4 linked regions of the Struthio camelus genome follow. The protein of the gene in region 3 purifies or fractionates together with the protein of the main gene of each other region. This does not show direct contact. Links are inferred from orthologs where the notes say so. Each region holds a gene or a part of one and is shown on either strand. Other genes may lie near its edges. The genes, in order: PLEKHM1, ARL8B, RAB7A and VDAC2.

The links.
Region 1: the proteins of RAB7A (region 3) and PLEKHM1 purify together in Homo sapiens (affinity purification with western blotting; 5 studies listed by BioGRID and IntAct, with this or other methods). This does not show direct contact. The link is inferred for Struthio camelus from reciprocal best matches to the Homo sapiens genes RAB7A and PLEKHM1.
Region 2: the proteins of RAB7A (region 3) and ARL8B purify together in Homo sapiens (affinity purification with mass spectrometry; 4 studies listed by BioGRID and IntAct, with this or other methods). This does not show direct contact. The link is inferred for Struthio camelus from reciprocal best matches to the Homo sapiens genes RAB7A and ARL8B.
Region 4: the proteins of RAB7A (region 3) and VDAC2 purify together in Homo sapiens (affinity purification with mass spectrometry; 3 studies listed by BioGRID and IntAct, with this or other methods). This does not show direct contact. The link is inferred for Struthio camelus from reciprocal best matches to the Homo sapiens genes RAB7A and VDAC2.

The regions. Positions count from the first base shown.
Region 1 is NC_090966.1:116,414-124,033, forward strand, and holds the start of PLEKHM1 (pleckstrin homology domain-containing family M member 1), read left to right. Parts: upstream 1-4,606; 5' UTR 4,607-4,700; intron 4,701-7,620. Other genes in the region: LRRC37B (leucine-rich repeat-containing protein 37B), read left to right, coding at 1-630, 734-829, 1,873-1,937, 2,882-2,942, 3,045-3,199, 3,947-3,986. UniProt on the Homo sapiens protein: Acts as a multivalent adapter protein that regulates Rab7-dependent and HOPS complex-dependent fusion events in the endolysosomal system and couples autophagic and the endocytic trafficking pathways.
Region 2 is NC_090955.1:2,490,738-2,498,557, forward strand, and holds the start of ARL8B (ADP-ribosylation factor-like protein 8B), read right to left. Parts: upstream 3,007-7,820; 5' UTR 2,849-3,006; coding exon 2,726-2,848; intron 1-2,725. UniProt on the Homo sapiens protein: Small GTPase which cycles between active GTP-bound and inactive GDP-bound states.
Region 3 is NC_090955.1:6,976,561-6,983,526, reverse strand, and holds the start of RAB7A (ras-related protein Rab-7a), read left to right. Parts: upstream 1-3,959; 5' UTR 3,960-4,137; intron 4,138-6,966.
Region 4 is NC_090948.1:26,044,040-26,051,206, forward strand, and holds the start of VDAC2 (voltage-dependent anion-selective channel protein 2), read left to right. Parts: upstream 1-4,157; 5' UTR 4,158-4,250; intron 4,251-4,596; exon of another isoform or gene 4,597-4,796; intron 4,797-4,860; exon of another isoform or gene 4,861-4,958; intron 4,959-5,301; 5' UTR 5,302-5,322; coding exon 5,323-5,356; intron 5,357-7,167. UniProt on the Homo sapiens protein: Non-selective voltage-gated ion channel that mediates the transport of anions and cations through the mitochondrion outer membrane and plasma membrane.

The sequences.
Region 1 (7,620 bases), on a different chromosome or scaffold from region 3:
CAAGAGAGTCCATGTCTGAGTAAAAGTAATCAGCTTTTCTACAGGACAGACTATGAAGTTAATCCAGAGGAAGAGCCCACACCAATAAAACCTAAACCAGAGCAGAGATTAAACACTGCAGGACATTTTTTCTATAACCTATTGGTTAACAGCAGCCGCCGCATTGCAAGGAGTATGCTAGAGAATACGTCTAAAGACAAGGCTTCCTCTCCAGGTGGGCACTTACTGGGCATCCGTCAAACTGACGAAACACATGGGAAGCATCAAAAGGAGGAAGGATTTGATTTCCTCAATAAACCAAGTAGTTCAGACAGCCCAGACACCGCGCCGGTTCAAGGAGACCTGTTTGAAACCAAGTTCAAATATCACCTGCGCTTACTCGTCCCAGAGAAAGCCCTGCGGACGTTCATTGCTCACGTGGCACGAGCCCTGAGGATAGACTGCAGCCTGCCTGCGGTCCAGCTGGCCTGCACAAAGATGGTCTCGAAGATGGGGCTGCTCTTGAAGGTACTCAGTGAGAGGCAGGATCACCAGGGAGCCTCTGCTCTCGCAGGCCGGTGTTTCCTGGAAGGGAACGTTCCCAATGGCACAGCCCAGCCCAGGGCGGCAGGCAGGAAACTCGCAGGGAAGGTAGGACCAACACTGGATATCGCTGGATATGATTTTTCTGGACAATGGGGAATGGAAGGAATAACGGTCTCTCCCTTGCTGATTTTTTCTTCTTCTGTACCAGAAGAAACCAGAGTATGCCTACGGCAACAGGCTCCTGGTGGCAGTATCGGTGGCTGTCATCATCATGCTCTTTCTCACAGTGATTTGTCTTATTGAGGTAAGCAGATAACTCCCTTGACAGACAGCTGCCAGTCAAGCCTTGTAGCTCGAGCGCACAGGGCTGGGATGATGCCTCCCTGTGTAGCTCGTGAAACCCAGAGCATCAATGTGGATGTCTACGGACATGCCGGATAGCTCAAGAGCTTTTTTTCCAACCTTTGAAGCTTGTCATGACATGCACACCACATAGCTCAGCGTGGGTTCAGGCCCTACCATGGGGGCTCATCCCAGCATCTGTCACAAGCTGTCCGGAGGTCACCTAATCAGACTGCCACAGCTCTCTTACCCACTTCCCAGTTTCTCTGAGAGTGCTGTGGTTCTCTGTCATCATAGTTTCTCCCATCAGCCTGTCTCTGAGTTTTACACTGCAATCCCTGCTGTTCATCACCCTGGGCCTTATGGGATCACCTTTTCCAGGCTCTTCTGCCCCTGTTCTGCTCTCCTGCCTGTGCCAAGTGCTTTCAGATGTACAGCAATTCCCCTGCTACTTTCACACTTGCCAAAACCAAGCTTTTCTGCAAAGTAACAAACGTTGGAGGGCTTCCCTAGCTATCTAGCAGCTCAAAATCTCTCAAAAAGAAGCTGCTGACCACTTCAGCAAGGTGCAATGGCTCAGTGTGGGTCAGAGCACTGCCAGAGCCAGGCAGAAGAGAGGGCACAGCCTCATTTAGTGCACTTCTCCTTGCAGAAAGTCTTTATTTCTTTAAAAGCCTACCTACCTACATGTTTAGGATTAGCTTTAAACAGGAGGGGAGTACCCTGCAAAGCACTGCACAGATAAGAAAGGCAGACATAAACATTTCTGAGATTAGGAGAGCTCTGGGAGTTCAGGTCATTTCTAAGGCAAGGAAAGCTGGGAGCTGGGAAGGGAGGATGGGCTCTTTCTAAAAATTTTGCTTCTGGCACAGACTCACAAATTTTGCTTCTGGCACATATAACATGCTTGGTTTAAGGAACAACCTTTTGGCCTCCCTTGTTTTGCAGAGTATGACAAGAAAATCCTGATGTAACAAGTCTCTCTCTCTCTCTCTGCTTTACCAGGTTTGCTCCCAGAAATCTGCAGCTGCTTCCCAACCCCAAACCACCAGTAAATCACGACTGAGATGGTAATTACTCCCTCCACCGTCCCACTGCTGGGCCACAAACAGTCTTTACTCTGAACAGCGCCTAATCGTGGAGCCCCCCAAGGACTCAGGCACTGGCTGCAGAGGAGTCACTAGTCACCAGGGTGGATATGTTTATGTAGCTTTTTAACACACCTAGAAAAGGGACCCCAAAGTGTGAGTAATCAGCACCACTATAAGCTCAGATCTCAACCAGCACCTCCACAGACCCCCCAGCAGCCTTTCTCCTTGCAGTGCAACCAAAACAGCAACCATAAATGCTGGCTGCAGCAGATATGTTGGCCCTGGGCTCCCACGTCGTGCCACACCCCCGGTTCTCAGCTCACTCAGCACTGGCCTGACCATGCTTTGTAGGCAAGAGAAAACACCTCTCTGCCCTGGTGCCCAGCATGACCCTTCTCTGATGTACGCAGTGACAGCTCTGCCCCCACTTCTCCCTGCCCCATTCCCCGTTCCCCAGAGAGGCTGTTTAAGAGCTTGCTCCTCTCTTCTTGTGATGCTCTTGTTTCCAGGCTAAACTAGAACTAATTCCCAGGCATCTTGGCAAACACCATCCCTTCACTTAAAAGACTCGCCTTTATGGGGAGGTTCATCTTCATTAGGGTCCGATGAAACTACCCCAAGTAGGTCGAGGTTTCTGCCACGGCAGGGCACTGACACCCACTGCAGCCACCCCGGCCATGCCACTCTGCAAATGGGCCAGGAAAGGTAAATTCTGCAGAGATGATGCATAAAAGCCTTTCTCCTTCCCTTTCTTTATCCCTAACCCACTAAATCCAGATGTTTCACAGCATCATAAACGCCAGTTGCCTGACCATAAACACGGTGCTGTACTGAGTAGGGGGACCCCAGCAAGGCAGGGTGCAAGTGACCTTCTTAGCACTAACTGCCATCACCAGCTTCCTTTACTTTTTATCATTCTTAAGGTTCTTTCAGAAATTCCTGCCAGGCAGATGGAGCAAGAACACACATGACCTTACAAAGCAGGTAACAGCAGAGGGAACGTGAGATGTGTGTCCCTCTGCCCCCCTCACTGCGCTCCCAGCTATTTCTCATATCTGAAACATTCCCTTGCTTGATGCTTCCCAGGGCTCTCATGTATCAGATCTGAGCAAAAACAAACCGCTGTGGCTTAGAGACATGTACCAGCCCCTTGATTCCCAGCATAAAAAAAACATGGCTCAGAAGTTGTACGATGAAGAGTCCTCAGACGAGGAAGAGATTTTCAACAGGGCTGAACTAAAGTAAGTGGGATGGTGACAGCGCCTGTGTTTGTCTTTCACCTCTCGTTCCAGTGTGGGAACTGCCAGGGTTTACCTTTGCTGCCTTGCTGTTATGTCACCAAGAAAGGTTGCCATCACAGTGATGTGCAGTTGCCCAGAGCAATTGCTGCAATTGCTGATGCCACCACCTTGTCACCCAGGTCCACCCTGAGAGTGGGAGCAATGGTCCCTGTCCATGGAGGAGGGTGCTAGGGAGGCCATGTGCTCAGGGTGCCAGGTGCCCAGCCCTGCCGGATGGGATCAGCAGGGCTACAGGGGATGGGAGAAGGGATGAGCACGGTGCAGCGCTGCTGCTGCCCGTTTAGCCCTGGTCTTGGCTGTGGTCCCGTTTCGGGATCTGTGTCCTGTGAAGCTCACGTCCAGCTCACTGCGCAGGGTCACCTCCTCCATCGCCCTCATCTTCTCTCATCCTTTCTCATCCTTGTTGGACTCAGCCACAAGTCCAACCCAACTTTAATTTTGTTCAGCTTCTGGGAGTGCTCCTGGTGCAGCTCAGCATGGGTGCCCCACAGGGCTCACTCCCCCTTCCCCAGTAGCTTCAACCAATTTAGCTGACTTTGTGGCAAGTTGCAGGGACATGCCATGCCAGGGGTCCGTAACACCCACCTGCCTAGGGGCACCAAGCACCTTGGGGTGCTACCTCCTTCACTGTCCCTCTGCCACCTGGGGGAAAGCCCAGCTTGACAGCTGCTCTTTTCTTCTCTTCAGGAAGCAAGAGGAGCTGCCAGCGCAGCAGGCGCTGGACTGATATGGGGCTTGGGGGCTACGCTGTGCCTCGGGAACTGTATAAAGTTGTGATGTTGGCTGATAGATACCAGGGAACGACTTCAGAATTTACTATTAAAATTAGCAGGTTTTTCAACAAGTGTGAGCATTCTGCGTGTGAATGGAAGCGTGCATGACATGCATGTGGGCGTGTCCAGGGCCGTGCATGCACATGCACACACATGTGTTGTGGCTACCGGAAGGACAGAAGGGACCACGGAGATGAGGGTCCTGCCAAAAGGGTGGGAACGAGTTGCTTGGGCCCCTTGCCATGTTGGGATGCACCGCGTGTTTGTGTGCACACGGCAGTGCTGTGTGCGTGCATGCGTACATACCTCTGTGAGTGTATATGTGTGCATGCATGTTTGTACATCTGTGTGCGCTTCTGTGTGTGCTAGCTTGGGCTTGCGTGACTGTGCAGGTGTGCCTGCCTGCACTTGTGTGCGTGTGTCGCTGTGTGTGCTTGTTAGCATGCCTGCCTGCAGATGTGCGCCTGCGTGCACATAAGGGTGCGCGTGCGCGTTTCCTTGTAATCAGCGCGGTTCCGCCCCCGGGGGCTGTGGTCTCACAGCACCGCCCCGCCCCGCCCCGCCCCGCCCCGCCCCGCCCCGGCGTCACGGGGGCGGAGGGCGTGCGCGCTCCCGGCGCGGCCGGCACTTCCGGGTTGCCCAGCCGGAGGCGCGGGGCCGCGGAGCCGGTGAGCGGGGGGGGTCGGGGGCAGCGGGGAGGGAGGTGAGTTTAAGGGGGCTGGGGGGAGTTAAGGGTGGAAGTGGGAGTAGAATGGTGGGGTGGGGATTACGAGGTGCAGATGGGGTGAGGGTGGGGGCTGGGGGGTACAAGGGGCAGGGGGTGGAGGGTGGGCTGCGGGGAACAGGTTGCTGGGTGAGGGGTGCGAGGGGCCGGGGGTGTGGCTGAGGTGCAGGTGTCAGAGTGGGGTGAGTGAACAGGGGGCTGGGGGGTTCAGACCCCCCTCCCCTTGGGGGTTCAGGGCAACGGGGGTAAGTTAGGGGAGCGGAGGGGGACCAGTTAGGTGCAGATGGGTGCAGGGTGGTGGTGGATGCATGCAGGCAGGCGCCAGCCTCTTCTGTCCCCGCTTCCCGTGAGTGTTGCCCTTTCCCCGACTCACCTCCCGACAGCTCCCCTTGCCCGGCTGCCTGGCACGCAGCCTCCCGCAGCTGCCAGGAGCTGCGTCCCCTCAGGGAGCATGGGCACAGCGGCTGCTGGGGACCTGTCGCCAGACTTGTCCCGGATCCCTGCTCGGGATGCTGTCCCATGCCAGGTGCTGTGTCTGTGGGCAGATGTGCTCTGTGTCTAATTATCTGCGGTGGCCCTGTGCCATGCCTGTCACGGTCTTGCTACTTTTTTAAGCTGCTCTCTCCTTGCAGACTTAAAGGGCTGGTATGTTAGATCAGCAGTGCAAGCATAACACAGAGCTAAAACTCACACTCTCCCATCAGTCGCTCTGATGGTGTATTAAAATCCCTCTTGCAGAAGAAAATTCAGCCTAGTGGTAAAAACGATGGTGAAAAATCTACCATGTCCCTCAGTTGTTTCTTAATGGCTTCCGTGGTTAAAAATGCCCCCTTCTTGTCGCTGCTTTACTCCCTGGCAAATCTCATGCTGATTTTGCCTGCTGAAGAATTCACCAACTTCAGAAACCTCCTCTGTGGGGACAGACCTGGATTGAGGTATCTCTTCTACATGGTTAATCCTTATTTTGCTCTGAGATCTGGAAATCCCTCCCTTATGGCCCTTCCTGATGTCTGCAAATTGGAGGTGTCTTTCTAAAAAGTCTGGATGTTGGAGCTGGACTGGCTCCCTGCTAAGGCCTCACCAATCCTGCACAGAGAGGCTCCACCATCTTTACTGAAAGCCTTGATAATCCCTCTTCTCACGTCATAGTGCTGCCTCAGTTGTATTTATTGCCAGGGGCCTTTTTGAGATTCCTTCCAGAGTGACTGCTGTCTGCATTTGGGTGTCCTGCCTTGCGGTTATGTTCTGGCAGTAAAACCTAGCACTTAGTGGATTTTGACCCCTGTTATTTTATACACATGTTTCAATGCACGTTTTCATTTGAAATGTGATGGCTCTGTGGCCTTTCCCTTTACAAACCATGTCAGTCTCTGTGTTGCATGTGAGCCTCATCAGCATTTTTCCTTCTCACCTTGCCCCAGTACTGCTGCCTCCCCCAGGGCTGAAACAAGGTGAGATGTCTTGTTCGTTGGTGTCTTTTACTTCCAGTATCATCTTTCTGGCAAACTGGGGTGACCGAAGTCCATGTGCTAAGCCCGATCTTTGCTCTCAAGGCAAAGCTGGAGGCAGAAGTATGAGGGAGAGTGTCAGCTCTCCATGGGTTACTTCTCTTTTGTCCATAACCATTTCCTCCCACAGAGGATGTCACACATCTTTGAAATGTGGAATTGGAGGTTATACTGGAGCTTTCCAGCCTCCACTTCTTCTTTGAAGGCAGAGGCCAGGGAAGAGCCAGCTGGATCAACAGGGCAAGGAGGGGAGGAGAGCTCCCTGGGGTGCACAGCCCAGGGACTTTGAGCTGAATCTGGTGAGGGTCAGAGTGACAGGAGCTTCAGGGTGCTCGTATGCTTCATGTCCTCCTCCCTGCATCCCCATGGGAGCTGCCCAAAGCTGTAGTCTGCTGCTCTTCCAGAAGGCCCTAGGAACAGGGCAGGAAGCCCCCCTACAATGAAGCTGTCTTCTCAGCCCAGCAAGCAGCAACAAAAGGGCCTGGAGGCCTCCTTGATTCTTGATTTGCCACATGAGGGTTATGCATAGTTTCAGTCGCGCGGAGGTGACGCCACCCCTGGGAGACACGGTCCTGCCTTTGCCTTGAGCTGGCTGCGATCTGTGCAATGGAGCAGCGAACTGGATCAGGGAACTCAGTCTTCTGACAAATAACCTCTGCTGGTGCCTGGGCTGTGAGCAGCGAGATTTAAGCACTTGTTGCTTGGGCTGGAGAAAGCGGTGGGCTCTGAGATGCTGCCCCGGACTGTGCGCCTGCGAAGCAGATGAGTGGGACTGCGTCCCGTGGGCTCCCTGCACCACAGTGTCCCGTTCCTGCTCTCAGAGCTGCCTGGGGTCATCATGCTCTCTGATTCAACCTTGTATTTACTTCAGCCACATGAGCGTCACGTGCATGGAGAGCTTTTACTGCCACATGCCCACGCCATGGATCAGATGCTCCTTTCCATGGGGTCCCTTAGGTCGTTGCTTATATCTTGTTATAGCAGAAAGCACTGACACCCCAAACCTCTCAGCAAGGTTCATCCCAATAAACCTTACTGTGGTTAGAGATGCCATAGCCTGTGCAGAGATGTTGTCTGCCTGCCAAGCCAGTCCCAGGAGGACTCAGTATGTACTGATAGTGAACGTCTATACAGCTCTCTCTGATTAACAGTGTATTATGTTCTTTATAAATGGCATTGTTCCATTTAAAATGAGCTGTTTTCAACGAGCTGGGCAGTTCTTGTGTTGAGCAGAAAATGCAGAGTTTAAAGAGCCAGTCACTTCTGTTAACTTGCTTTCAAACAGTGTGATACCTTATTTCCCTGGTTGCAGTATGCGAATGCCCTGCAGTATCATATGGCCAGCAAATAATCAGA
Region 2 (7,820 bases), about 4.5 Mb from region 3:
TGACAATCACATCATGAGAGTCAGACTCCCTCCCCACCCATTTAATTCTCCTCTCCTGACCATTAAATATGAGAGCGTTAAGTTGAAGAGCTTCAGTGCCAAACACTTGAATGGAGGATCAGTCTATTGGGCTTCAAGCAAGATTTTACAGTAGGAAGAGTGAGCCTTCTTCTTTGATATTGAAGATCAGCAACCTACTATTCACCTATATTCACTGCCTATAGCCTGGAAGCAGAGCCAGTTTAGAGTCAGGTTTCAGTTGCACCACGTGACTGTGGTGCTTGGTTCTGTCATACCATCTCACACCACCATGGCTATGACTTGCAGCTTTGACGGCAAGCCTGATGAAAGCCTGTTAACAGACACTAGCTGGAGAGATGCAAATAACAGAAGATACTGCAGACTCCAGCAAGTAAGGGACATTTCAAGTCCTCAGCTAAGAATTCAACTCAAGATGCAACACAGCAGTGACATAGAGTATGTCTGAATAAGAGCCATAGGCCACCTACATTATGGAAATTAGGAGCAGAAGGAAATGATAGTCTCCCTTGTGAGCAAGTTTACTCATGCACATGGAAAACTATTTTCATTATGTTTAATATCTAATTAGAGACAGTGACTAACATAAAGCCCCAGCAAAGCAGAAGCTGCATTTTTTGTAGCCAGCTACAACTAGATCTCCCTGCTAAGGTTTTTAAACCTTCTAGTCAGACTAAGCTTGGTGTGATTACAGACAAGCTAAGTGTTTGTTTACACTGGAGGCATAAATATTGCCCAGGAGAACTATCAACCTAGAAAAATGTCATTGTCGAATTGGACTTTTCGCCTTTCATGGATTTTTCCACCTTCATGGTAGGCAGTAGTTGTGTCCAGGCTCCTGTGTAACTAGAGGAAAAAAAAAAATCTCAAGCCGGTTACATATGCTTGATTTGATTGGGTACCCACGCAACACAGAAGATTACATTAGAGAACTCCATTAGATTAAACACACTGTTAGAAGACCGGCAACAGCTTTGTTACACAGGAAGCAACCTTATAAGCCATACCAGGTTCCTGGTATGCAATCCAGTTTTCAGAGCTACTCTATAGGACTAGCATCTTGCTGTGTCACTCCTTTCATTTTAGCTTTATAGCATCCCAATGCTTTGACAGCTACTTCCATCGAGACCATTAACTGGTCTGCAGAGAGCAGTTCTTTTCTGGGTGCTAATTTCCAAATGCACATCAGGAATTAAAATAAGCCAAAGAAGCAACTGACAAGAAGTGAGCTGTGCGTGCCATGGGCTGCATTACTCTTCCTGCGAGAAGCAATATTGTGCAGCTCAAGCTAGTTTTGTTTATTTTTTCTTGTTGTTTTCACAGTAATAAAAATGTGACCAAGTCCCTGAGGTCTGACATACTCACTCCATTCCACTCTCCCCACCCCACAAGTCACTAGATTCCCTAACTGAAAACTTGGGAAGTGTGACTTGCTATTTCCAAACCTAAGCCAGCTAACCTAACCAGGTTGCATACTATGCATAACTTCCTTAATTCACTCAGTTTTGCAAGGCTACTTGAATGACACCTACTCAGATAAATTTCTGCATGTGATCCTACTGTGCAGTTGAACAGCTGTAAGGTTCAACTCCTAGCAAAGCAAGCTGGATAAAGATGTCAGCTTTATTTAGCAGTACTTCTACCACTGGAGACAATCTACATAGGCTGAATTGCTATGCAACTAGTACAACTCTACATATCTAGAGTATAGTTTCACAAATAACTCCTCAAACGAGATGTACAAACTACTGCTTTGCTTTCCTGTTTGTGTAGTACCAGCAGCGCAAGGCCATCGCCATCCAGGACTCCAGGAGAGGAAAAACCTGTAGAGTAACCCCACTGCCCAAATTTAGTTGTAATCACAGCTCAACTACTATCAATATCAGCTCTACTACTGCAGATAATTCTACTCAAATTATCCTGCAACTTGGAAGCAGGAACAAAAATGATTGAACAACCTCAACAGTTGCACTTCAGGTTAATCCAGCAACTTTTGCTTAGCCTAAGTAGAGGAAAAGTTACCTTTCACTAGGGTTGATCCACTTCATGCGATTACCATGAGGTCCACTAAGCACTAATATCCTCAACTATGCAATACCTTTACTACGTTTTGACAGCTAATCAGCATAAAAAGGATTATAGGCAAACACAGAAGAACAATCTTTTTCCTATCGAGTTACCCATCCAAGCAACAAACAGCAGCACTCAAAAGCATTAAGGACACAGCCTCAAAACAAGGCCTGCTCAGATCCGAGGCAGGAGGTGCACCCAGCCTCACCCCGGCTGCTCCCATGTCACCAGGTGGTCATACCCCCTGCAAAATAAGAAGGTGCGCCAGCTGCCCACCGGGGCCTCCCCCCCCGAGGCCTCCCTCTCATTCCCCCCCCTCCCAGACCACCCCCAACGCAGCTCACCTCTCGGAGCGGTTTCCACCGCGTGCCCCCCAAAAACAGGGCACAGACGAAGCCAAGCAAGCCTCCCCCCCTCCCCCGGACACCGTTCAGCACCGCGGGAGGCGCCACGGCGGCAGGCCTCCCAGCCCGCTCGGCCCCGGACCAGCGGGCCCGGGCAGGGCCACGGGGCTCCCGCTCCCCGGGGAGGCTGCGAGCGCACAGGGCGGCGGCGGCGGGGGGAGGCGGCCCAGCGCGGCCCGGTCGGGACCCCCCCGCCCCGGGCGGCCGCTCACCGCGATGACGTTGACGAAGGTGGTCTTGCCCGAGTACTGCAGCCCCACCAGCGTCAGCTCCATCTCCTCCTTCCAGAAGAGCGAGCGGAACCAGTCCAGCAGCCGCGACAGCAGCGCCAGCATGATGGCGGTGGGGACGGCGGCGGGGACGGGGACGGCGGCGGCCCTGAGGCGCTGCCTCAGCGCGGGCTCCGGCGCGGCCTCCGCGACGCCCGCTCGCTGCGACGCGACCCGCCTCGCCCCCGCGCCGCCGTCATATGACGCCGCCGCGCCGCCCGCCAAGAGAGGCCGCGCCGCCGCCGCCGGCCCGCCGCGCCCGCGCCGCAGCGGCCCCTGCCGGCAGCGCCGCCGCGCAGCGCCGCGGGAGGACCGTTGCGGGGGGGGGGGGGGGGGACGGCGGCGGCGGGGAGGCGGGGGGAGGGGCGCCCTCCTCGCCCCCCGCGCGCCATCTTGCGCCCCCGCCATCTTGTGTAACGCCTGCCTGTGGGCAGCGCGGGGTGGCGGCTAAAGGCGTGCAATACCCCCCCCGCCCAAAAAAAAAAAAAGTAGCCGCCCACCTGCGCTTAAAATCCACTCTCACAGCCCACTCGGGCACAACTGGCCCCGCTCTGGAAACGCCTGCCCGCCCGGCGTCCGCCCCTCCTGCGTGGCGTTTCCACCCAGGCGTTGGCTGAGGCCTGCGGCGCGCCGGTCCGGGCGGCGGCGGCGGCGGGGATCCCTCGGCTCTCGGGAGCCGAGTGGGAGAGCCAAGCGGCGCGCGCCCCGTGTGTTTTGTGAAAGCAAGGCTGACGGGACTCTCGTAATTGCGCTTCGGGGGCTGGGCAGCTTCGTTTCCGTCATAAATGCCGCACCGTGCTCCAAGCGATGCGTCCGCGCCCCAGAGAGGCGCCGCCGAGGACCCCGGCGCGCGGGCCCTCCATAAAACCCCCCGTCGCTACCCGCCCTGCAGTTAAACCCTGGCGTTGGCTGCGCGAGGCCGGGGCAGCAGGGATGGCAGTCGAGCAAATACAGATTTACCCGGGGGGGGGGGGAAGAAAAAAGAAATCGAAAGGGGTCTAAAAGCTGCCCAAGAAATGAGAACATTTCCCCCTCTTTGAAGTATGATTTTTTCCCCCTCTCAGGATTTCTTAGGCCGAGGCCGAAACGTTTCCGTGACTCGAACCATGAAGAAGCACGAAACGTGGGGTATCGGACAGGGTTTGTTGCTTGCCAATACTTGGGAAAATAACGGCTTTGCACTTGCCTATATCGAAATATTTTACAAACACTGGGGGACCCACGCCCCCGTAGCGCACAGCGGGATGAACAGAGTCAAGACGGCGGCGACGGATTAGCTGCAGCTTGTGCGTCGCCGCTGTTGCTTCGTTAGCTGCTGGTGGGTGGGCGGTGGTCTCCATCCCTGGTCGGACGGCGCTAAAAACCACCTCGGCCCCAGCGAGGCTCTGCTGGACCTTGCAGACAACCAGAGCGGCGGTGTCGTGGGTGCTGCACGTTGGCCCGGGGCTCTCTTCCCCCCCTTCTGCCCTCGCTAAATCCCCTCTCCGCAGCATTTCTGGGGACTCCAGACCTGGCAGAGGATGACCTTATGTACAGGAACCGATTTTAAGCGCGGGCAGACCCTCACGCAACGAATGGAGCTGGCAGGAAGCCCCACGGGCGAGGAAGGGGGCCAGGGTGGAGCTGAGCCCTGCGCCATGCCGTCCTGAGCTCCGCGCCGCGGCACAGCTCCACGCTACCCTCCAGTGGCTAAATGTCATAGTTTGACCCGAATACGCGAGCGTGTGGCGTTCAATAGCTGAGCCCCGCAATATCCCTAGCGGAAACAGTCAGTGGCACCCGGTTCCTGCACGGCTCGCGCTCAGGTTTCTTTGCCGTCTCTGGTTTGGCTCCCTAGAATTAATGGGGAAAATGCAGCTGCAATGCTTACACATCACGAGCACCGATTTTATCACTGACAGACATAAATGGGTAGATCTAACATGCCAGAAATGTGACTGGCATATCCCAGGAGGGTCGTCATTAATATCAGCATTGGTCTCGCTTGAAAAAAAACCGAGCGCCCCGACCGCTCGCCGAAGCGTGGGGCGCTCACCAGCCTTCTGGGGGAGGCAAAATAGTGCATTGTTCTGTATATTGCATTCCTCAAGGATCTGGCAGCATGTAGCGTTCTTTGTTAATTGTTTGTGGGTTAAAGCACAGGCGCAGAAAATCTCCACGAGTCTCTCTCTGACCGTGGTTTGCTAACATATAAGTTGATCAAGATGTTGCAGGAGCTAAAAGCTGTGGTATGTCAAAGAGCCAGTCGGAGCGGTCAGGTGCTTCCCTAGATATGGATCGCTGTTTGGCACATAAAAGCGTCCTGAGGTGCGCACGCATTGGAGTACACGGAGTAGGCACTAGCACATCTTATACAGCAATCATGTTTGCCATGAGGTGATAAATGAGTATTTTGCTCCTGGGAGCAAATCCAATTTCCTAATTCAACCACTGGAACAAAATAATGTGAGAAGGACTGAGTAGTTCTGTAGCTGAAAACAACAACATGATTCCCCCTGTCTATTCCGGTACTGTGAAGATATCACGGAGATTTTCCACGTGTATTGCAAATTCTGTGTAAAGCAAGGCTCATCTCCTCTGTGGCATGGTTTTCAGGCAATAGACTTTGTGATTTATTACCAGCTGCTTCCAGAGCCAGCTAATGGGGATGCTATGTCTATTCTCTCTCAAGCCACCGAGTAGTTCAGGCATTTGCAGGTTCTCATATGTCAGCGTTTGAACACTATGAGTGCTTCTCCCAGTAAAATCTTGCTGTAATGTATAGTATAACAAAAGGCCTGCAAGTGTGTTTAAGCTTAAAAGGAATGATAAAATTCATTATCTCAAGTTAATCTTCTGTTCTCGGTATTCATTTCAAATCACAGGACTCTCCAAAATCCCTCTCACAATGAGCGGAAAGGCCTCAGTGAGCACTGCTCTCGTTACATTGTTTTATGGACTGCTCCATACAGGGTTTCTCAGGCCTTTAGACTTTGACTTTGCCTCCTCATTTCCACCGTCAGCAGTCTGCATATGCACCCTGGGAATCGTTGCACTCATTATTGCAGCAGTGCAGAGCACTTAGAGCAATGCAATTACTGTTGCTGTGGCTTGCAGGATATTTCTGGCATCTGAGGAGGACCTGTCTGCAGATGGCCACATGAGAAGAAAACAGCATGTAAAAACAGGAGTCAGAGCATCACTTTCTGCGTCTAGACATTTCCTGGAAATTCCCTGGAGGTTACAAAACACAAGAGGAGAACCGCTGGACTCTCACGGGGCTACGATAAATAAGCCCCAATATATTTAGGATACATAAACAGCTGGGTAGACATTTATTTGAATTACAAAGTTCCTAAGTTACCAAACTTACGTAATCATGTAAAATAGTAAATTGCTATATCCTCAGATGAACCATAAAAGTTTATAATGTTTGGATAACGCAAGAAAAAATATTCTACATCTCCTATTAAGGACAAAAGCTTCAGGTTTTTCCATGCCCGTTCAGGAAAGCATTGACATCACCAAAGGTAATACAGAAGACTTCATCAGTATTATATGGTGCCAAATTAGTACTGATGGGTAAGCGATGTGCACATGTGCGTACATGGGAATATTCTAACTCACCTGGTAAACTAGTGGTCACAAGTCATTTCAGTAAGCTGTATTTTCATTTTTGCTGTTAAAGGCCCTCCTTCTCCATCACTGCCGGAAGGAAATTCTCTAAATCACGCTGCATTATTTTGCTGAGTCAACAGATAAGAACGAGGGGCCCAAATCTGCTCTCGTAGACCAGCGTCAAACAGGACTGAAAAAGCAAACAGAACTGCTCTGGCGTAAAACCACGGGGACTGCACGCGAGGGCACAACAGTCTGCGGTCAGCCCTGCCAGCCGCACCAATGGGATCCACGCGAAACCTGTCGCTGGCCCTTCAGCTGCTTGGCAGCTCCCCGGCCTTGCTGGGAGAGCTGTGCTAACTGGTTTCTCTCTGCATACTGTCACGCAGGAGGAATTATATGCGCTGCACGCAGGGAAAAAAGCTCCTTGCCGTACCTGCCTGCTGCAGCGAACGCGGTGAGCTGGACTGTGCAGGACGGCGCGTGGCCCGTCCTGGAAGGCACCTGCTATGAATGACACCGCGCTGCAGCCCTCAAATGAGAAATTTCACCGCTCCCCAGCGGTAGGGGAGGCGGCTGCGCCGGTATTTTCCCAACCCAAAGCATGGCTTTCCTTTGTATCCATAAAAAGCCAGCTAATATACTCCCTGCAAATAAGCTGTGATATGAGCTACGCTTTCAAAGGTCTTAATCCATTTAATGCTTCATTAACTCAGAAAATTTCATACCCGTGGTTAGCAGTATCAAAGAGGAGGGAATGCCTGGCACCAATTAGTTCTAATAAGGAGCTAAACCGTGCGCAGATTTCTGAGCCTGTCATTAGTATGAGAAAATAGGACGGCTCCTCTCAAAATAGAATATCTTACTGGACATTTCTTTAATTTGCCCTCAGCTAAAGACTACTCCCACTAGCTGATGCAGGCAAAGAAACTAATTGATCAGATTAGCTACAGAAGCGTGCTGCGGGACCCTTCCGTCTACTGCTGAACGAGGAGCCGTGATAAAATAATAGCATCAATGTTATTATGCGGTTTTGCATTTCTTCTTAGTCATATTTCATACTTTAGGGAGGCCGATATACGTGCCTTCAATTCGCCTTGACACTAATTTCCTTTCAAGAAGGACTGAGCCGGCCGTTTGCAAAATGCCTTTGAAATTGGTGGTGCCTCAGAGACGAGGCCTCCTCGTTCCTCCGTGTCAGAGGCGGCAGAAACTCTCCCAACTTGCGAAGCGCATGGAGAGAGAGTTGTGCCTACCAGTCGGCCCAGCTTAGGCACTCTTGCTTCTCAGCGCCGGCAGGTGGTGCCTGGATCCTGTTCTGCATTTTCAAGTCGCAGTTAAAAGACTAGCAGGAGACGGGCTGGCGGGCGATAGCGCGCGTGAGCTACGTGTCAGCCTCGCGCTACGACTGCCCAAAGGCAACGGGCACGGACATCGGCCC
Region 3 (6,966 bases):
ATAGAGGCTAGTAATCCCTTGCAATCTGTGCCCTGTTCTCTACCCATCAGCAGAAGCATGGATCAGAGACCTGCCATGAGCTAAAGGGATTACAATTGCTTCCTATGGTTGGTGTCTGGTGATCAAGTCTTGTCCAGAGCCAGCTTTTTATTTTCATGTATTGCTGCTGCTGTAACACTTAGAAATCAACTGAGGATTGCAAAGGTGAAAGCATTAGTAGATTAATGGAGTGGTATTTGTACTGCAAGCAGGAATTAGAGACGAGGGCAGGCAAAAGACTCTTGCCAGTGGAAATGCACAGGTGGTCATGCAATAGCAGAAGATTTTTAATGTACAAAATGCCAGCAGAGGCAGAGTGAACCTGCTTTAGACAAGAGTAAATCAAAGAGTGACAAAGCTTGGAATACAAAAGCAAGATATTGTATGTTTGCTGCATCTTAGTTCCTCTTTTTTATTTCAGTAAGTTAAATCATTATAATGATAATTTGAGGAAGCTGGTCTGGAAAGGCAGAGGTGGTAGAGGAAAGCATTGCAAAGCTAGTTGCGAGAGCACAGCAAGGATCACAGGACAGACAGTTTTCACTGAGCAGTTATTGTCACGATGGGCTGGTGCTCAATTTCCCAGGCTCCACAGGCAAGGAAAGATCCTGGGGATGTGTCCAACGAGGAGGGGGAAGGCCTGCTGAATAAGTATCAGAGGAATGAGCAGGGCTCACTCCAAGCTTTTAATGTCACAGATGGCCAGAGGTGGAGTGGCTGTGTGTCCATGGGAAGGTGGTGAGCGCATTATGAATGCAGGCACTTTTGGGAAAGTCACATGTTCACAGCTAATGTCTACGGTTTGCAGCTACTACAGCTAAGCTTCCGTGCAGGTTTTCTGCGTAGACCTCTCTGCAAGCCCTCCCATTAGCAACCAGCGGGTGTTCTTGTGTCCATGCTATTTCTATTCACAGTGTCTTTTTAGGGACTAGAAAGGGAGGGCCCATTTCGGTCAAAGGACAAGGGAAGAGATGGTATAAGGCATATCATGTTTTATTGTTTCTAATTGGATCAGAAAGATTGGTAAATAGAGATGATTTGTCACAAAGAGAACAAGATCAAAGCTGGAGATATTCTTACTTCCTGGTTTAGAGGGATGGGTGCGTGAAGTATGTTGAGGTTGCTACACTGGTAAATGTCTGAAGACTGATCGCTATAAAATCAGGGACCCACTCACTCGTGTCCCTCAGAGCGAGAGAACTAATTTCTTCAGAGTGATGTTAGTGATTGGGAACAACTGGCATTGAGTTTCAAACTGATCCATTTTTAAGAGGTTTCATTGGGTTTTGCTATTATGAAGGGGTCAGATGAGAAACGCTGTTTTCTTCGCAGGCTACTGACGCTAAGCTGTGCTGTCCAGCTGGGCTGGGCTGCTCAGTGCACAGCGTTCCGGTTTCTTCCAGGCCCTGGGTTCCTTCTGGTGGGAAGGTGTGCATGTGTATGTCCGTATGGCCAGGCAGAAACACAACAGCCTCCACTCAGTACATCCGTTTACCACTTTCTTACCATTGTCTTTTCCCTTTCATTCTGCCACTGTGAACGTCAGTGTGAGCTGTGCCAAAAGACGGGAGACCTACATGGATAGCAAGGACCTCTCTGCTGACATCGGTCCTCCTGAGCGCCAGGATTCATATGTACTTCCAGGCAGGCAGGATCTTGCCTCGTCAGTCTGAGGACATGCAGCATTTCCAGAGAGGATCAGAAACTCATCATGAGCAATTAGTCCATGACACCGCTGTTGATCATGCTAGCAAGTGACACAGGAGCTTGGTGTGAGGTTATTCTCAGGATAATAAAAATATGTAATAGATGTAGGTTTTACGCTACACTGGTGCCAGGATCGCTCGGTGGTAGAGAAGAAGGAAGAACTTTCACCCATGGTTTTTGATTGGCTTTCATATCATGTAAAAAGAAAGGAAAAAGGAAGCTTTCAGGAAAGAGAGCAGAGGAACACTGTAACTCACCATTAATGTCTGCTCCTAACAGCCCAGCATGTGGGGGGTCTCCTGCTAAGGGAACTATGCAGACCGGGGCAACCAAGTGCTCTGCCCCACCTGCTGTTGGCATGTCCACGTGTCCAGGGCCTGCAGTCCTGGGGCTGAGCTGAGAGGATATTTTCCTTCTCATCTAAAGAAGACATGCATCTTTGCGAGGGTTTTCTCCATCATTTCACCAAGCAAGGCTTTTCCTCTTTTGTTAGGTCCTTGTTTTAATTGATAACAGGTTCTTTTGCAGCTCTCTGCATTTAATGGAGCACCTTAAAAGCATTAACAAAGTAGATGTCATGGGCTCCCCTGTCTTGTGAGGAGAGTGCCACAGTCCTGCAAATATAGAAATTAGAAAGCAGTAATAAACTTGCCAGCATCACAGGAGGAGAACCCAGCAGCCCTGGCTCCCACTTGCCTTCTGTTAGTCTGCATTTCCACCACAACCTAAACCAGTCTAAGGAGCAATGACGGTGTCCTGCCTCACCCACGCCTTCCCTTGCTTCAGCTGCAGCCTGCATGAAGCCAGTTCAGTGCACTAAGCTGGCAGAGAAATTATCTTGTGCTCCTTTTCGTGTTAGTTGTCTGCAGATTTAATGCTGAAGTGACTCAGCGCAGGGTCAGACGAGAGCCGGCGCTGGCATAAGGAAGGGAGAGCGTGAACGTGTGTACTTGAATTTGGGCTGGGCTGTCCTTTGGAGCCGAGGTGGTTTTCACAGCAGTCAGTGTGGAGGCTTCCCTTGACAACAGAGACTCCAAATCGGGCTCAGTCCCCTACGCCACTGCTGTCGGACTTTAGTTCTAAAGTAGGACACTGTAAATAGCATGCCCCGTGTTCTCTGTGATGGATAGTGAAGGGATTCAAACCAGGCCCAACAGATTATAAGGATTTTAATAGTACATTTGCTGTGCTCTGCGATCATAATTCTGTTGATCTCAAACCGCTTTGCAAGCATTAATGAATCAAACCTTGCAGCGTCTTTCTGGGGTAAGCATTACTGTTTCCAGGTTACGCACGGGCAAATTGTGTTACCAATGCAGAGAAGGCAAGCAATTTGCCTAACGTTACGTGGCAGATTGTCTCAGGACAAAATAAAGACCAAAGAGGAAAGAAAAAGCACTCTGTTACCAAGCTAAAAGTCCTGCCTGGTGTATACTGTTCAGAAGCAATTTCCTTTTTTAATGAAGCTATAAGTGGCTTCATTACTTTTGCCTCTTCAACGAGCTCTAAAAATACTTTTTTCCTTGGTTGCTTTAGTCTTTGCGTTCCCAAGCTTATGGGCCAACTACAGCTACAATAATCATGTGACGTGGATGAACACAACAGAATATTCAAGTAAGCGCTGAATAATACAACACGCTCGCGGCCAAAACGCCGAGTAGGAAACACAGAGCGCGCTTGTACCACCAGGATGATGCTTCTTTTCTACAGCGAGGTGCTAGAGAGTTAGTTTACGTAGTCCCATTGCATCTGCCTTCGTTGCTGATCTTGGCACTGGTTGTTGCTTGATTAATCAACCTGAATGTGTCTTAAATTGCCATATTTTAATTTACAGGGTTTTTTTTTGTTTTTTTTTTTCCTGTGCTGTTGCTACTATCTCACTCCGGATCCCAGAGCAGCTGGGCCCGGCAGGGACCTCTGGAGACACCTGGTCCGAGCGCCCTGCTCACGCCAGACTGCCCGGAGCAGCTCGCCCAGGGCCACGTCCAATTGGGTGCCCAGTTATCTCCAAGGATGGAGCCTCCACAACCTCTGGGCAACCTGCTCTCCTCCCATGACATGCTGCAGCCCCCCCCCCCCCCCGCTGACGCCATTTGGCGGGAGCCGTCACGCAGCCAGCCGCACACGGAGGCTTCGGCGCCCCAACATGGCGGCCGGCCCGCCGTCACGTGACGCGCCGGCGCCGGCGCCACCGCCCCTTCCCCCTTCCCGTTGGCCCCGCGGCGGCGCGCTGACGTCACGCGCGCCGGGCGGGCCCCCGTGACCGGAAGTTGTCGGGGGGAGGCGGAAGTGAAAGCGGGGAGGCGGTTGGGTCCCATTAAAGCCGAGCTGAGGCGAGCAGTGGGGGGAGGCAGCGAGTCTCGGGCGGGCGCCGCGGCCACACGCAGCACGGTGAGTCCGGCCGCGAGCGGGGCCGGGGGTTCCCCGCGCACCGTCTCCCTGGGGCCTGGTTGTTGTTGGGGGGGGGGGTGGCGGCGGCGGCGGCTCCGCCCCGGTGCCGGGGGCCGCGCGGGGCCCCTCCCGCGGGCGCCGGGCCCTGCCCCGCCGCCGGGCCCCGGGCGCGGCCTCGCCGCTCCCCCCCCCCCCTCCTCTTCTCCCCCTTTCCCCTCGACGGGCTTGGGGCGGCCTGCGACGCCGTGCCGCTCGGGAGGACAAAGCCGCCGCGGGCCGGGCCGGGCCCAGCCGCCTTTCGCCGAACAATGGAGCCTCCCCTCAGGAGAAGTCTCAGGCGGCTGCCGGCGGTGGCTGGCAGGGAGGCGAGCGCGTCGCTGGCGGTGTGCGGCTCCGCTGGTGCTTCCCCTCGAAACGTGACGAGGGCTGGGGCCGAAAGGTGTCGTCGGCGCTGGTCTTGGGGCAAGCGCTGCCCGGGGTGGTCGGTGGGTAGCGTTTTTAGGGGTGAGCAGCTTGCCCCCGGAGCAGTTAACGTGATGGAACAGGCAGCTGAAAAGACTGGCAGTTTATTGCGAAAGTAGCTCCGTGTGTTTGTGTAAAGCCTGAGTCAGTTTTTAAGAAGTATTAGACTAGGTGTCAAAAGTGCTTTTTGGCTGTGAGTGTGTAGTGAAGTAAGTGATAAGTTACAAATCTGCAGGTCCATATAGGCTAATAAATATGGAAATATCTAATAATAGTACTTAGGACAACTGTCCTGTCTCCTGTAAGTAGAGGAATTCTTTTTAATAGTAGAGTAGCTATAAAAAGGCCCTCTTAACCTAAAGAGAGGTGACCTCAGTGTCTAAATGCATGAGTCTTACTGAATAACTTAATCCTTTGAGTTGCATCTAGACTCCTTAATATTGCCTTCTTCAAAAATAAAAATACTAGCTGACAAGTAGAGCTGTTGTAATATGTTTGTGTAGGATTTTTATATATAAACTGAGAGCACATAGCAGAACCAAGTCCTCCCAACTGTAAGCAAGCTGAGCTCTACTTGGCAATTACTAAGTTGGAAGCTTTAGGGCTTCCCATACTTGTCCTTGGCCAGCCAACTCTGTTTTTTGCCTAGTACTCTGCATCTAGTATTACTGTAGCAAGTAGAAATTGAGGTTGGGGAGTGAAGAGCTCTCTTTCTGGGGGAGAATGGTACCTAACCAGTTGTGCTACAGTACTTGGTTGGCTCTGACTTGAAGGCTTACTCGCAGCTATTTTATGTTTACAAGCTGCGATGATACTAGTAGTGCCTGATGGAAACTGCAGTTGGGCCATGCTTCCTCCAGGGCCAGGCTACCTGAGCAAATGTAGCCTGTTTTCTTAGTAGCAGTATTTGAGGTGAAAGTGGGTGGAGTCATTTGACTATTCCCTGTTTAAATAACCAGGGCCTCGTTGCTGTACTACTTTAGGAAGAACAAGTATACTTGTCTCTTTCCCCTTGTGACTTCCAACAGCTGACTAAACACATGACTCGTGCTAAGTGAACTAATGAGTAGACCCACCATGTCTGGCCTGAGTCTTTAGCATGCAAAGCAGCTGTAATACTGTTACTTTCAAGTGTGCTGCCGTTTATCTTCTGTGTGCTGTTATGCTAAAAGGCTACTTCTGGTGTAGAAAAGCTGTAAGATGAGGCTAATCTGCCTCCTCAATAAGGAAAACTGTTTTAAAAACCTGTGGCAGTCCCTTGTTCTCTTAACCTGCAGAATTAAATGTAACCAGTAAGATCCAAAATAGCAGTTATATTAAACTTGCCTCTTGCCTGTGGTGTCACTTGGTGGTCTAAGTCCTCAAATGCCCTACTAATAGTTCACCGTGGCCCTCTAGGAATGGTACTGTAAAATACGAAGGTGCCAAGCTTAAAAGCTGAAATAGCTGTGTTGCAGTGGCTACGCTGCAGGCATCCTTGTCCCTGCTCCCCCAAAGCCAATGGCTCAAACTGTGCAAAGCAGCATAGGCATGTTGCAACATGGATGAGTTCTTAGCTGAAAGTGAAATCATGGCTCTGCTGTAGGCTCTCTTCAGAACTCACCTAGGGAAGATACTGCTCTGCTTGGTTTACTACCCAGACTGGATGTTTAGGGACAAGAGGGCTACCGGGTGCAGTTTCTGCAGCATCTTAAAGCTCTTGTTTTAAAACTCCTGTGCTAGAAGGTCATGTGAACTACCTGCCAGAGCAAATCTCTGGCAAAGCTTGTCCTTGAGGAAACATGACAATTGCAATCAAACCATCTGTGCACAACTATAAATAGCCTTGCTTCTAACATGTATTGGATTTTATTCTGACTTCTCTGTGAAAATGAGACTAGTTTATGCAGAACTTAGCATTTGGCTGTAAACAAAATTGTTTGCGCTTGATTAGGATGCGTTTTCCTCCAGTGCTGCATCTTGAGATGGGTGCCTGGCAAGCCATGGTTTAGGAGTAAAGGCTGTGGAATAGGATGGTTGGATGTTTGCATTCCCTAAACAAGTTGCTGGGTCTCTGGGCTCACAGGTGTGTGCTGGTAGTTCTCCCTCATGTTATAATGGACCAATTTCTTGAGTATCTGGAGTAGCCTGGGCATTTGATAGCCAGGCACAGAATTCTCTTGTCTCGCCTGCTGCCAGTGTCCCCAAAAAGCAGTCGTCTGGGCTTCTCAACTGTCACATATACTGCTCTTAAGCTCTGGTTTCTAGGGACCAGCTGGTACTAAGATCCCCTATAGTACAGCAGGGGGTTTAAAGCTTTTCCTCTTGGTGGAAGAGGGTCAAGATGAGAACGTGCTGAAATGCTGAACTGGGCTTTAAAGTCAAGCT
Region 4 (7,167 bases), on a different chromosome or scaffold from region 3:
TTTGCTGCCCAGTCATTAGTTTCTGGTAGCAAGAAACCCAGATACCACTCCTCATTTTTTCCCCTCTCCTTGTTTTAAACTCTGGGCCGCTCCTTCTGGTCTGGGCTTGTCAGGGATTTACAGAGATGCTATTTGCTCCCAGCTGCAGGTCTTCACCTGGCAGGGTGTTGAGTTGAAGGAATCTCTTGGGTGCAACTGTAGGTGTCCTAGTACTTAATGCAAGGCATAACATGGTAAAGATTACCCTTTATTTGTGTTAGACACCTAGTATTTTCTCATATTCTGCCACAGGCTTCAATGTTTATTGATTGGGTTTTTAGTTCATGACAATGTAAAAAAATAAATGTTTCTGTTTTACTCCAAGATATGGCTGTGTTTTTTTCCTCCTCAGGTCTATGGTGGAATTTAGAGATAATCATTATCTTGGATTAGCTTAAATTTCACTGCTTTAAACCTGCTGAAGCTCTTTCATACGTTTGCTCAAGTCATAGGAGTAGTTATGGTGTCATTTTGTTCACCTGAGTATTTTCATGCCATGAAGTATTTTCCACATCAAAGCTAGCCTGGCCTAAGTCTTTCAGAAAGAAGCCACTGCCTACTTTTCTTTCTTTATTTATTTATTTTTTTAATTACGGGCATTTTCCAGCATACAAATCAAAGCTTGATAAAAATTCATTAGCAAGTTTAGCTTTACCTGTCCAACTGCTATTACTATGTGGTAATAGGATGTGCAGTCACAAACGGTAAGAATCTTCTATGGCATACAGATGATTGAAATGGCTAAGTGTAATGGTGTATGAGAGGTATGTTCTAAATATAGGACTGAAAAGCAAAAAATCCATGCTTTGGTCCTGTCTTTGATTCCAGCTTTCTCTGGGGTATAAAACGGGGAAAAACATCTTCTGTGTGATATCAGACACAAACATTTGCAAAGCAAACAGTAGTAAGGTCAGGGGATAGAAAGCTTGATCAGAAATGAAAGGGGAAATGTTAATAACACAGCAGAAATGAGTTTACTTCAGGTGACAACTGCTGCACCAATCAGTCAAATCTATTGATCCACTTAAGTGATTTGGGAACACTGGGCATCTCTCTCTGGGTTTTTCCAATGAGTTTTACAAGAATGGTTGTTTCACTTACAAATCAGCATTTAATTATTTGAAAGCTCTTACTGGCTGCTGAGATAATGTCCTAATCCTTTTATGCAAAAAACTCCAATTGCCCCTCCCTTTCCAGGAGGTATCACCTCCACAGAATGAAGCCTATTAATTTACTCATTTTAGGATGTTAGAAAGCCTGGTGGTTTGCAGGTCTGTCAGGCAGTTGTACCTAGCTTTGTTAGAAAGCTGCTTTTTCCTTGAGCTACAGGAGGTAAAAAATCCAGAGGAAATGGAAACTGCAACAAAAAGAAGAAGAAGAAGAAGAAAGGGAGAGAATTTGCAAATAGCCAAACACAAATCCAAAAGAAGGAATAAGTACAGGCTTCTCTGCATGGGTTAGTTTTCATTTGAGTTTCTCCTTTTTCTTTAACAGAATTTTTTTCACTATTCCTCTTATTTTTTATTGGGGGATATGATAGTTTAACGCTGAGAGTATGCTAGTAGAGTGCACAGCATCGCCACAGGCCCTAACAGCAAGGGCTGGATTTTAGTTTGCTTTGGCTGTAGAGCTCTGGGCAACCAGCTTTGATGAACTATGTAGGTGCAAGGAGCTCTGTGCCTCCGTTAGTCTCCATAGGGCCTGTAAACAACTTGGTTCTTTTATTGGCTTCCCAAGCTTGCCTTCTGCTTGCCTTCTCAGCAATAAAATTGCAGGCTTAATAACATTCAATGGTGCGCCTCTGAGATGAGGAATTACCTAGGTATGAATCTGTGCAGCTTATTTAAAGGTGAGGGCTTCTGTGTGTGTTGTTTTAAGCGTATCTTAAAAGTTGGCTTCAGTTAAACTTCATCCTAATTATTTAACCTAAACTGAAGTAAGGCTACTTTAAAACTGTTGAGAGAAAAAAAATTACAAGGCATCAAGTCTGTAGTGGATGAGCCCTTCAGGTACCCTGAAAGCGTGGACCCTTCCTGGGTCCCCTCTTACGGCTTTTCACGTGCCTGGTTTATTTGAGAGTGGTTGCACCTTATGAAACAAAAAGCATAGTCAGCCCAATATCGTTGCCAATGAACGCCTAAGTAAGAGCATAAGAAGAGAGTGAGCTGAAATGACATCTCTATTTGCACCTCAGTGGTTTTTCTGACTTGGGAGGGATTGCACAGCTGTATGTAATGGCTCAGCAGATTTGTAGTTGGTAATCCTTCACGGGCTTCTCCTCCACAAACTTGTCTCGTTCCCCTGGGAGCCCGTTCAAATGTTGAACATCTTGTGGCAAGGAATGCCACAGCTTAACTCTCCATTGGTTAGGAGGACACCTGCTTTGCTGAAACTTGCTCCCTGCCAGCTTCAGCTGCTTTCCACCCTTTCCCTGCTGGTTATACTTTTACAATGCCTTTCATACTCCCTCAGCCAATTCACTTCTGAAACGAAAAGTCTCAGTTTACTTGTTCATTCGATGGCTTTCTTTAAGGTCTCTTTTTCTGCTCGGTTTCTAATGTGTGAAGGCCTCTATCTTGAGAGGAGGGCAAACAATAACTTCAGGTTTGAGTTAGAAGTGAACATGAACTTATTGAACCTGTTTAATTGGAAACTGATACAGACTCCAGTCACTTGCTCTCTTTTGGTTGGTCACATATGTTTCTTTATCAAGTAATCATGACTACACTACATAGATAAGTAGAGTTTGGAAGTTTACTACAAGAACATACACATCAGATTGTGTTTAAATGTTAAAGTGATTCAGGTTTTTTTTTTTTTTTTCCTCCAAGTGAAACCAGCAAACCGTATGATTCACTGATGTCAGTCATGCATACTCATGCCTGTATTCAAGCAAAGCAGACATAGTTAAACTACGAGTGGGAGGAAATGGCTGACTGGCTCAGACAAGTGTGATACTTGGTTCAGAGTGGAAACCAGCTCATTCAGAGCGGGCGCGCACGCATAGGACGTGTGTGCGCTGAACGTTAGGAGAAGAAAGTGGCCCAGGCCCTGAGGTGGATGCTAAGAAGAAAGATCCAGAGTAATTTTGATGGATAGCTATTGTAGGCCCGAAGACTTGGCTCTCTGCGGTTTAGAAAATGTGCTGTAGGAAATAAGGGATCGTTGTAAGCATGAAGAATGGGGAGAATGAGAGTGAAAAGGAAAGGGAGATGGAAATTGTATCTGCAGGAGCCAAGCATGTTAATATAGAGATGTTCATGCACTACTGTACAGACCATGTCTGTAGTTTGTTCTGTAAAGAAAGTGATTCATTAGTTTTCACTCAGGGTGGAGTACTTGGTGCTTTCCTGGATTGCTAAAAAATAAAGTGAAACCATGACTAAAATCTTCCTCTTAAAGGAGAGAGGAGGGAAAAAAAAAGCCAACTGAAATCTTGTGTAAGTAACTAAATCTCTATTCAGAAATGAATTTTTACACTGGGTATGAATAATAAATACATGTCTTTAAATAATGAACAACTTATGCCCACAATCCATCTTTACTTAATCGGATCTCTGTTTACTCCTAATGTATGTTCCAATGCACATTCAGATGTGCTAGTTGCCATTGTCTCCTATTGCTGTTTATCCTCTCAGCATGTGGTTTTCTTCTTAATTCATCAAGACACATTTCTCTGTGTCATGCCAAGCTCTCCTATTCAAAATTATCTGTATTAACCTGTTGGGTCTTCTGTTGTGAAAGTACTGGACTTGCACACAGGAAAAAAAGAGGGATGCTTATCTTCTGATATAGCTAACAGATACCGGCTGGCATCATGTTGGGCCTTACTGCTAAACTGTGGAGGTTTTATCTGCTGCTAGTAAGCTGGAAAGTTAACTTTGTACCATGTATTCTACTAAACCACTGGTCTTGAATATATTCTTCGTATTGTGCCGCTGTAATTTGTATTTGTAAACACATTTTTTACTACCTTTGAGGAAATGTTGATTAAGAAACCAACTACGCAGAGGTGAACTAGAAATCGTGAGGATGCCTCTACCAGGGTTTCCTGGCTGAGCAACCATTTGCCCTGGTGACTTGGTGACTTCCGCTGCGGGCTGCGTGCCGGCTGCCGCACCGCAGCCAGCGGGCCCTTCCCGCCAGCGGCTCCTCCCCACGGCGGCAGCAGCCACCGCCTGAAGAGGTTTCCCAAGGGTCCGACCTACGCGGTGGGGTGCAGGGCGGGGGCGTTCTTTTTGGGGGGGGGGCGGCTTGGGCAACCAGCGCGAACGCAAGCTGGCAGGAAAGGGGTGGCGGCCCTTGCTCGAGGGAGCGCCCCGCCGGCTGTCGCGGCCTCCGCCGACAGCAGCGGGCAACCGCCGCCCCGCCCCGCCCCCCGCCGGGCCCCGCGCCGCCGCAGGACCCCGCCCCGCCGCCGGGGCTGCCCCGCCGAGCGCCTGTCGAGCCGCGGCGCCGCCGCCCAGCTTCTCGCCCGGGTCCACGGCGTCTCCCGCAGCGCCCGGCGCCTCCCGGCTGGTGGCGGCGGCGGCGGCCGGCCGGGCGGCGGCGCGGGGTGTGGCGCGGCGGGGAGGCGGCCGGCGGGGCGGCCCCGGCTCGTTGGGGTCCTGCGCGGCGGCGGGCGGGCGCATCGGTGTCTCCTTCACTTCGCCCTCCAGTGCCAGCGGCTGCAGCAGCGCGGCCTCCTCACGGCGACGCCCGCCCGCGGCCCCGGCCCCGGCCCCGCTCCGCTCCGCCCGCCCGCCCGCCCTAGCCAGGTGCCGGCCTGGGCCGCAGGGGCGGGCGGGCGAGGGGGCGCGGGCGGCGGCGGGGCCCTGCTCGGCGCCCCTCAGTGCCGCCGCCCGGGAGGGCGGCGAGGCGGAGGCCGGGGGGTGGGGGCCGGTTCTCGGCACGTTTCCACGCGCTTCCCTCTGCCTCGGGTGGGCTCCCGCGGGCTGCGCGGCGCCGGCGGTTGCAGGAAGGGCGGCGGGAGGGCGCGCGGGCCGGGCCGGGCCGGGATGCCCAAGATGGCCGCGCCGAGGAGTTCACCTTGCGGCGCCGCGGGCGCCTCGGCCCTGGCCCTGGCGCCGGGCCGGGCGGGCGCTGGGCGCTGGGTGCTGCCGCCGGCGAGGGCGCCCGTCTCCCGCCGCGCCCGGGGGGGGCCGCCCGTTCTCCCCACGCGGTGTCCGGCGGCCCGGGGAGGCCCCGCTCTCCCCCTGCTTTCGGTTTCTGAACACCTAGTTCATCTCTGGATGTTTCGTTTTTTTCCCCCCCTCTCCGTAGATTCTCTAAATTGGCCTAGCCATGACTATTTCTCCAGCATGTCCGCCTCCGAGACGTAAGTAGGGAGACAGTTGAAGCAAGGGTAATGAGTTCTTTAAGCTTTAGTAGTACTAGAAGTTTAAAGGTCAGTGTCATGCCCTATATATATAAATATATATATATATTTTTTTTAACCAAATATATTTTTGAATCTACTTCTCCATGCTGATTGCAATATTGGAATACAATTTTAATGTAGTTATTGCCAAGAATTTTTAAAGCTGCAAGGATATTTATTTCTTTATTTTAAATATGCCCTTCAGCCTGATCTTTAATATCCTGAGGTCTTAAAGTTGTTAGAAATCTGTAGAGAAATTCTTGGAATTCGTTTAGTTACAAGATGTAGAAGAGTTTTGAAATAGTACCTCGAGGGAAAGAGGTGATGTAATAATTCTGACAACGTTTATACGCTTTTTTTTTTTGTTAGATTAATTTTTTTTCTCTAACAGAAGAAGAAATCATTCTTGGAGCTCTTGAATAACAGATGTAATTCAACATTTTTTTTAGGGTTGTGTGAAAAGAGGGATAAAGCAAAGGTCAGGATGAAGATCCCAGTTGAATTAATTACTTTCTATGTTTTTGAAATGAGGAAGAAGATTATCTGATATAGATAGTTGCTGTCACAACAAACTTCTTGTCATTGTATGTTATCTCTATTTTAAGCACTTCTAATCACCTTTTAAGTGAAAGGCAATTCAAAATAGGGTTGAAGAAAGCTATCTCTGATTGTAAGAATTTACAAACCTAGCTAACCTACCAACAGTGGAGGAAATGGGAAAAATTTTTTGCCCTTTTTTAATTTAATAGGCTTTTCTGCTGATGACGTTGGCTTATCAGATATTGTGCAAAGCCAAAATTAACTTACGGCTTGCCCTTTTGTATATTCTGTTCCTGCTAGCATAGGACTAGAACAGCAGTGTGAAAGTTGTTTTAACTCTTTTTTATCACGCATCTTGCACTTGTCTGTAGGCTGGAATGTCAGGCAAACATTTGTCAGTTTCCTTGCAATGGGAAGGATGCTTAACTAGGCCAGATAAAGCAGCACTATCCTTTTGCTCTAGTAATCCTTTCAGTTTAGACACAGATGCCAGTTTACTCACTTCCCAGGACATTGTTGCTTAGCATAAATCTCTTGTCTTTGGTGGTTTGTCTACTCAGATGGGAAACAGTGTTTAAAACGAAAGCAGAAGGCTCATTTATTTTAACTGTCAAAATACGTTTGTGCTAGAGGCTATTACAAAACTTTACAACTAGAAATAGTTTTTCTTCTAGAGATGGTAGTTAAAGGAAAGACCCACTTACTAGAGAAAAATACATAGCTAAACTTTTTCTAAATTACCTAAACTACTAATGAATTATTCAGCTGCTGTATAGCAGAAATGTAGAGTGAGGAAATAGCAGTGTCCCACACTTCCTTGGAATTTGGTCTGAATAACACCTGCTTTTTTATTGCATAAGTAATAGGAAGCGTTTTCTGACTTGTTGCTGAGATTGATAATTGTTCTGCCATAGAATCTTCTCTTCCTGAGGCTTATGTAATTTATTGTAATGTAATAAACTTTGACTTGGGCTACACCATTTTAACCTTTAAGCGCTTTACCTTTTTTTTCAGAGTGGGGCAGGTTTACTTTAACTCCATGCAAAAGCAAACTTGTTTTGTAATCTCCAGCAAGAGCTAGATGTCTTGCTATGGTGACCTGGTTGTAGAGCTTAGAGTGCCTTACTAAAGAATGGTTATTTTTTTAAAGCTAAACTGTAAATGCATAGGTGTAAATGTGTAGGCTAAGCTGGGCTTGGATGGGCCTCTTATGTTTTAGGAAGGTGAGG